2 linked regions of the Oreochromis niloticus genome follow. The protein of the gene in region 1 binds, or shares a complex with, the protein of each later gene. Links are inferred from orthologs where the notes say so. Each region holds a gene or a part of one and is shown on either strand. Other genes may lie near its edges.

Evidence for each region. The genes of interacting proteins can lie anywhere in the genome.
Region 2: b9d1 (region 1) and tmem216 share a complex: the UniProt entries of both Homo sapiens proteins name them as parts of the tectonic-like complex. The link is inferred for Oreochromis niloticus from reciprocal best matches to the Homo sapiens genes B9D1 and TMEM216.

The regions. Positions count from the first base shown.
Region 1 is NC_031969.2:13,175,498-13,179,249, reverse strand, and holds the start of b9d1 (B9 domain-containing protein 1), read right to left. Parts: upstream 2,883-3,752; 5' UTR 2,738-2,882; coding exon 2,675-2,737; intron 2,519-2,674; coding exon 2,450-2,518; intron 2,297-2,449; coding exon 2,185-2,296; intron 1,505-2,184; coding exon 1,408-1,504; intron 1,225-1,407; coding exon 1,162-1,224; intron 649-1,161; coding exon 581-648; intron 312-580; coding exon 163-311; 3' UTR 1-162. UniProt on the Homo sapiens protein: Component of the tectonic-like complex, a complex localized at the transition zone of primary cilia and acting as a barrier that prevents diffusion of transmembrane proteins between the cilia and plasma membranes.
Region 2 is NC_031966.2:8,581,453-8,585,204, forward strand, and holds the start of tmem216 (transmembrane protein 216), read right to left. Parts: upstream 2,714-3,752; 5' UTR 2,637-2,713; coding exon 2,627-2,636; intron 1,609-2,626; coding exon 1,595-1,608; intron 1,509-1,594; coding exon 1,415-1,508; intron 771-1,414; coding exon 678-770; intron 338-677; coding exon 136-337; intron 43-135; coding exon 27-42; 3' UTR 1-26. Other genes in the region: tmed9 (transmembrane emp24 domain-containing protein 9), read left to right, coding at 3,268-3,457. UniProt on the Homo sapiens protein: Part of the tectonic-like complex which is required for tissue-specific ciliogenesis and may regulate ciliary membrane composition.

The DNA.
Region 1 (3,752 bases):
CTCTGCACAATATTTCCAGATACGCACATTGTTGCTGGTGTCTCAGTTGAACACGGGATTGTCACTGTGAGGGGAAAAAACGTCGCCTTCAGGGGCTCGTAACATGAGGAGACGTGTTATTTGGCCCAAATTTCCTTCAGTCTGTTAATGTTGCCACACGTTTTATGGTTGTTCCTCTGTTGACCAGCCAGATGTGGCGGAGGGCTTGTTTGCCGGGCCTGATGGTCCCGTGTCATAGTCCATCTTCTTCATGTCTTTAGTCATGATGAGAAAGGAGACTGAGACGAAGCCTTGCGAACGAACTCTAGTCACTGCAACATTAAATATAAGACAGAGTTTTTGTTTTAGTCCAGAGCCTGGAAAATACGCTGCAGAGTAATAAGTAACTTGTGTAATTTGATCTGCTGTGAATCTAAAGGCTCAGTCACTAGAATAAAAACTGCTATAGGAGAAACAACCATTTCAACAGCAACACGAAGTTAATCGCACTAGACTGGACTCCTTTCATTTTCCCTGGTGTGACTTTAGCACAACGTGGTAGTTTTGGGACAGTAAAGAAATGCAGACAAGAGCCACACACCTTCTCTGCCCTCACCCTGGGCCACCACTTTAGGATCTGTGTATTCAGGCCGCCGCCCCGTCAACCACCTGAACAGAGGAGAGGAAAAAAAAAAATTGTCGTACACAGAAAGGTTCACAAACTGGCTTAAGAATATGCATTTAGCTTGAGATGTACATCGTTTTCTCAGTCTACTCTGGAGGGCTTTTTAAGGCAATTTAACCTTAACTTGATACTTTGATACAAGTGGCTAAAACAAGAGGAAGAAAAGCCCTTAAAAAGTGTGCTGCTGCTGTTTTATTTCAGTTACACTGTCAGGACAACAAATGGCATAACTTTGGCATGCCACCAAAGTTACACAACCTTAGGTTGTCAGGAGATAACGTGGGAATACCTTTGTGTTTTTCCGCATACTGATCACAGAAGCAGGAAAACAATGTTAATTATTCTCACCACACAGGTAATAAGAGCCTATCTTTAGCTCAGGTCTTGCGCAGATAGACATGGTGGAACATTAACTTTTTTGTACTGCTCTGAGATCATAAGCCACCCGAGCCACTGGCAGAGAGACGAGAAGACTGCACACTGAGCACACATCTCACCCTGTGAACTTCTGAAGTCTCCATGTGGGCTCAGGAACAAACATGGGAATGGTTTTCGTATGCCTGAAGAATAAAAATAAGGTTATTTTCTGTTTCACGCTCTTCCTGCTGAAAGAAGCAAGTGGTGTCTACATTCTGACATAGCTCAAAGGTGAGCACAAGTTATTTGAAAATGGTACTTGTGTAGGGCAACCCCCCCCCCCCAAAAAAAACCCCTAAGGATAAGTAAATGAAAGCAGTACTGACTGTCCTGGTGTGAAGGGGATGTGTGTTGCTCCATAGCCTCTGACTACATCGTTGCCAAAAACATCTGGACCATAAACACTCACCACGAGCTGAGGCCCTGGAAAATGAACCCATTAATTAATACATAAATTCTCTGTCTACAATAAGTTTTAGATATTACTTCTACTTCTATTTTCAGCTGCTCCCTTTAGGGGTCACCAGAGCAGATCATCTGCCTCAATCTCACCTATCTAACATCTTCCTCTGTGGTCTTCCTATTTTCCTCCTGCCTAACAGCTCCATATTCAGCATCCTTTGTCCAGCATTTCCACCTTCCCTCCCTCCATGTCTAACTGTCTCCAAACTGCTCAACCTGAGTGGTCCCGCTGATATATTAATTTCCAGTCCCATCCATCCTGGTCACTCCCAGACTCCAAACCATGCATCATAACAGATCTCACCACCATCCTTTAAACCTTCCCTTTCACTCATGCTGCTATCCTTCTATCACAAATCGCCCCTGACACTCATCTCCACCCACTCCACCCAGCCTGCACTCTTTTTCACCTCTCTTGTACACTTTGGACGGTTGATTCTCACATACTTGGTTGGCTGTCTGTCCGTACTACAGTTCATCTCTTGTCACTCTATCATATACTTTCTCTTGATCTGCAAAGACACACTGCAACTAATTTGCCATTCTCTATACTTCTTCTAAAGGATCTAATATTTTTGTCAACAGAAGGCAACTGTTCCTAATTAACCACGTGTTTTTGAGTGTGTTTGTGTAATGCTCACATCCAGATGGATTTGTGCTCTTAAATGTTGTTGCCAGTGGGAAGTTCCATATCAACCTGTGCGATGCTTGACTGCTTTTACTGGCGATTTGTGTGATGCCTTCCTCCAACCCCTATAGAAGGAAAACAAACAAACACACGAACTTTCAGTAGGGGCTGTACTTTAACCATTTGTTATTTAGTAAAGACTTTATGACCCCTTTTCAGGCTAATTGTGGCTTTACTAAACACAACACTGTAATTTTATATTGCATCACGCTACTCACCGTGGTGGGAGCCCAGTCGTGGCCGTAGACAAAACAATATTTGCAGTACAAGTTGTCATACTCTGGAAACTGAAATACAACACAGATATCAGCTTAACACCTGTACACAAGGGTAAACGAACCGAGAAATGAGACGAATCCATGGCACAAGCTATCTCAGGGGGTGCTAATGCTAGCTGAACAATCAGCTGCAAGGCTAGGCTAAAACACAGAAAGCCCACGCACGTTCGCTCCCTCAATATGTCCGTTCACCGTGAGAAGAAACACGGATGGGTTGCTTGCAGCCATTACGGCTTTAGTTAGTAAACCAGAAGCTGAATGCGTTTCTATTTCATGACAGATTCAACCCGCTGCAGAAGAATCCTGCTGCTGATCATTCCGTTGCTAGGGCGACGCTTTTCCTCCTCTCTACGGAAACCTGCTACATCCAAACTGAACGGTCGCGTAAACGCGGTGAGGAAATGTTCACACTGTCCACAAGATGACGCCACTGTACCAAACACCAATAAAGAAGCAAACTCAAACACTGAGTAACAGGAGAGCATCCTGCAGCTTTATATAAACAGTGAACACTATCAGGCTGAGGAGACGGTAATGCGCGCGGTCACATAGTGTACTAAGTGGGGCCACGAGTCACAACATATGATCAGGAAGCAGAGGAAGTGTGGAATGGAGGAGCACAGCATTACCACATTAGTGTCCAGTGGCTTCGATTTATGGGTAGGATTTATTACCATGTCCATTCTTGGGAACAGAAGATGGCAGAACTTAATATGTTGGTTGTCAGCCATTGTTTAAAAACAGTGAGGAAGAGGAGAAGCCTTCCAGCACATAGGGGAAGTAGAACAAAACTGGTTTTGATGTAAAAACTTTCTGGATCTGCACTATTTTTTTTCTTCTACTGTTTAAAATTTACACGACAGTGAATTTGAACTTACATCAATTTAAACTTACAAACTTACTTGTTTTTAATTTAAATGAATTTTATAGATAATTTTGAACAATCATGTAGGTGCTATTAGATCTAATATAAGATTGTAACGCTGATGTCGGGGTTAATTTCAACATTTAGGACTGCAGGCCCCTTGTTTCTCTGTGTTGATGACTGACTTTACTGTTAAAAATCACATATTGCAATAATTCTACATTTAAAATGACTTCCTAAAATAAAAATACATCTTTTTGTATAAAATAGTGCTTACATGTTGACAGAAGGTGTCAATTTGAAGGCATAATAGCAAATCTTGCATTATTCTCTTAAAAGCTCTTATGTCATATGGTAATATCTTAAAAAAATCAGTCA
Region 2 (3,752 bases), on another chromosome or scaffold:
CTGACTCGTCCTGTGGCGTTTGCTCCTCAGTACACTTTGGCCCTGCGGAAGAAGACGTAAAGTATGAACTTTAGTATTTAAGGAAACGACTAAGATTTGTACCGACCCAAAAAGCCCACATGAGGACGCCATCACCTGGAGAAGGCGGATATGGAGATGAGCCCGAGCAGGAACTCGAGGCCGTAGAAGCAGAGCAGCACGGCGTTGAGCAGGAACTCGAGGCGTAGGACGAAAGTCTGCAGCAGAAGGTAGTACACGGCGAGCGCGGTGCAGGGGAGCAGGACAAAGAGCGACATGCAGGAAGCCAGAGAGCGCTCGCACAGGTTTCCCTTCCAGCCTGGATGGAGACGCAGTTTGACACTCAGTTTGTGACGTGCGTGTTGTGTGTGTGTGTGTGTGTGTGTGTGTGTGTGTGTATGTGTGTGTGTGTACACGACATGTTTTTGTGAAGCACTTTGTTGTCAGACACATAAATGTCTGAGGCGACTGTTGTTGTGATTTGGTGCTATATAAATAAAATTGAATTAAATTGAATTGAATTAAATAGGAGGTGGCAGGAGCAGCAGAGCATGAACTCAAGACAGATAAAATCATCTTATCTGACTTCTTAAAGGACATGAAAGACCATTCCTGTTATAAATAAAGATTTATTCAAAATGAGACGTGACTTTGCTCACCGTAAAAGATCCGCAGAATCTCAAGAGCGAGGAAAAGCAGCAGCAGCACGACGTCCAGAACCAGGTTATCTGACGGGTACGGCAACAAAACTCCTGCAGAGAGCAGACATCAGAACGCCATCACCATCATCATCACCATCAACATCAATATGACCCCATCATCATCAGCCTCTCCATCTTAACAAACACCATCATCTTCATCACCATCATAATCCTCTCCTCCAGTTTAAACTGTGGAGGCTGTTAATTGGATTTAACCTGCTTAAATAAAGTTCTACAGCAACGATGGACCCACGTATGACTTCTTAACAAAGTGAGTTTCAGGCTGCAGCTGAACAAAAACAGGAATATTAAGCTTTTTTAATGTAAAAATAAAATGTTAAGTTAAATGTGACTCGATCTTAAAAAATAAAAGCACATTGGACTGAGTTCAGACTTTTGTGGGTTAGGCGTACATCAGCAGACCTCCTGAAGGACTCCGATTTCTCTCCGACTGTAGCCCGGCACAGTCGTAGCCGGGCTATGACTGTGCACTTTCTGAGCTTGGAAGCTTCGACGGTAAATCAAGTGCCCCTCAAACTCAGTCCCAGTTCAGCTCGAGCTCGCAGCGCTCGGTCAAAAAGCCCAATTCTCTGTCCCATTTAATCGTCTGCGTGAACGGCACCATTTCTCAAACTCTGTCTCTGAGTTCTGCGCTGCAGGAGAAAGAGGAGGTAGAGGAGGATGCTCTCACACACCTTTATAGATGAACATGAGGACCTCGGCCAGGTAGAAGGCAGCAAAGTACCAGCTGTTCAGGTAGAACAGCACCTGCAGAGGAGCGGACGAGAGCTGAGGAAGAGGAGGTCAAGGAGAAACAACGGCAGGCACAAAGTCACATGACCTGCAGCTCTGCGTTAGAGTCAGGTGAAGGATACGATTGGTTGGCTCCCTGCAGGAAAAAAAGTGGAAACAGGAAGCAGAAGAGTGAGTTACAGACCACAAACAGGACAGATCAGATTACTGATTAACCTGCTGATTGTATTGGTGATCTTGATAATATTATTAATGATATAAAATGTTTAAATATTTATTTAAGTGATTTCGTTGTACACACAGATTTGCAGGTGTGCTTTCTTTCTTCTGTCTCTTTTGGCATATCTTTGACGTTTCTAATGTCTGTGATTGTTTTTACTGCATTTAATAATTTATTTATATTCTTTTATTATTCTATTCTTTATAAAGCAGCTTTGCGCTCCAGGATGTCTGAACTGGGGATTGTCGTTCATGCATCTATGTCATCACTTTTGAATTATAGCAATTTTCAAATTTCTTTGTTCTCTTGTCTTAACAAAGCTTCGCTAGAACGTCTGCAGGTCATTCAGAGTGCCGCTGTGAGGGTTCAGACTGAGTCACTGCTGATTCAGCTGCTTCAGAGTGCACTTTAAGAGTATGGTTTTGACCTTTAGAGCTTTCCAGGGACAGGAACCTACGTACATCTGTGAATTTTAACATCCATACGCTGTCAGCAGCTTCCCGTGGTCATGTTGTCAGGCTCTGAGTGTCTGAGATCTGTGGACTCTTAAAAGTCAGACTAAAACTGATATTTTTAAACTTCCTGTTTAATGTGTTGTTTTTTAGGCTTTAGCATCTTTGTTTTCAGTCTTTTCAATGTGACTAACTGAGCTGAAGAGAGTAAATAAGGAAACGCAGCTGCTGTTTCTGTGTAAAAACATGTGCTGCGGTTCTTTATCAGTAATGTTAGCGTCTCTCTGACTGCTGTGGTTTGATGAGCTGACAGAAACCTGACGTGTTCGCTGCTCTGACCACGCTCAGCCTGCTCAAAAATAAATAACCATATACAGTTTTATTCGACCAGTAAACTCTCCACTGACTTTAACCTATGAAATATTTAAAACTTTAACCCTGCACCTTTACCGATTTATCAACAACAAAAACCTCACACTCACCGGGCGCCATGTCCGCTTCAGCCCTGTTGCCGTGGATACCGTTTGATTTGGTCTACGCATGTGTGAAAAAGGCTTTTTCCCGCTTTGGTCTTTCACAGTAAAAGACCACGAGATTGTTTTCGTGGTCTTACAGTAATACAAAATAATAATAACAGGCATACATCAAAGCATTTTAATAACAACTCAGTTTTACTTATGAAATTAAATATTTGTTTTCCTTTGCTAAATAAAATTCAATTCAATTCAAATATTTATTGTCATTGTCAGAAAACAATGAAATTGCGTGAATAAAAATAATAATAAGTGTAAATATAACTCCAGTGCAATAAAACAGTCCCCAGCAACAACATACAACATGACAAGTAATATTTAGAAGTTGGATATGGTTATTGTCCGTGAGAGAGAGGGGGCAAAGAGTTCAGAAGCCTCTTGTTTTTTTTTAAACAATGTCTCATAAACGCACATTTTGAGTATTTTTTTAAGTACATAAACTAAAAATAAATGATTAATCATGATAAAATTATTTATCATTCATTTTAGAAGCCCAGAGCGTTTAGAACTACGACACCCAGTATCCTCCTGCGGTTAGCCGATTGGCCAGAGTGCCGCAAGGGTTTACGTGGCACTGCTGTGACAGGCGCATGCTCAGTGTGAGTTCCGTGTGTCCCGGCAGGAAGATGGCGTCGCTCCGGATCAGGATGCAGCCGTGTCTGTTTTCAGTTTTACTCCTGAACGTTTTGTGCAGCTTCGTCTCCGCACTGTACTTTCACATCGGAGAGACCGAGAAGAAATGCTTCATCGAGGAGATTCCGGACGAGACCATGATTATCGGTGAGAGGGGGGTGGGGGATCTGTGGGATAATGCTAGCAGCTAGTTAGCCGAGCAGCTAACAGCTCAAGTTTAGTGTGTCGTGTCTTCAAATATGTGTGCACTTTTTCAAAAAAATCTAAACTTAATTAAAATAAATATTATTAAAAAAAAAGTTCACGATAGCATGATTTGATTTTATAGTAAGGAAAATCCCCGCAAAAATCTAAACTTTAAAGTGTGATTAAAGTTTTCATAAAGGTATTTTTCCATTAAAGAAAGCTGTTGAAATAATAATCCATCAACACTAAGTTTAAA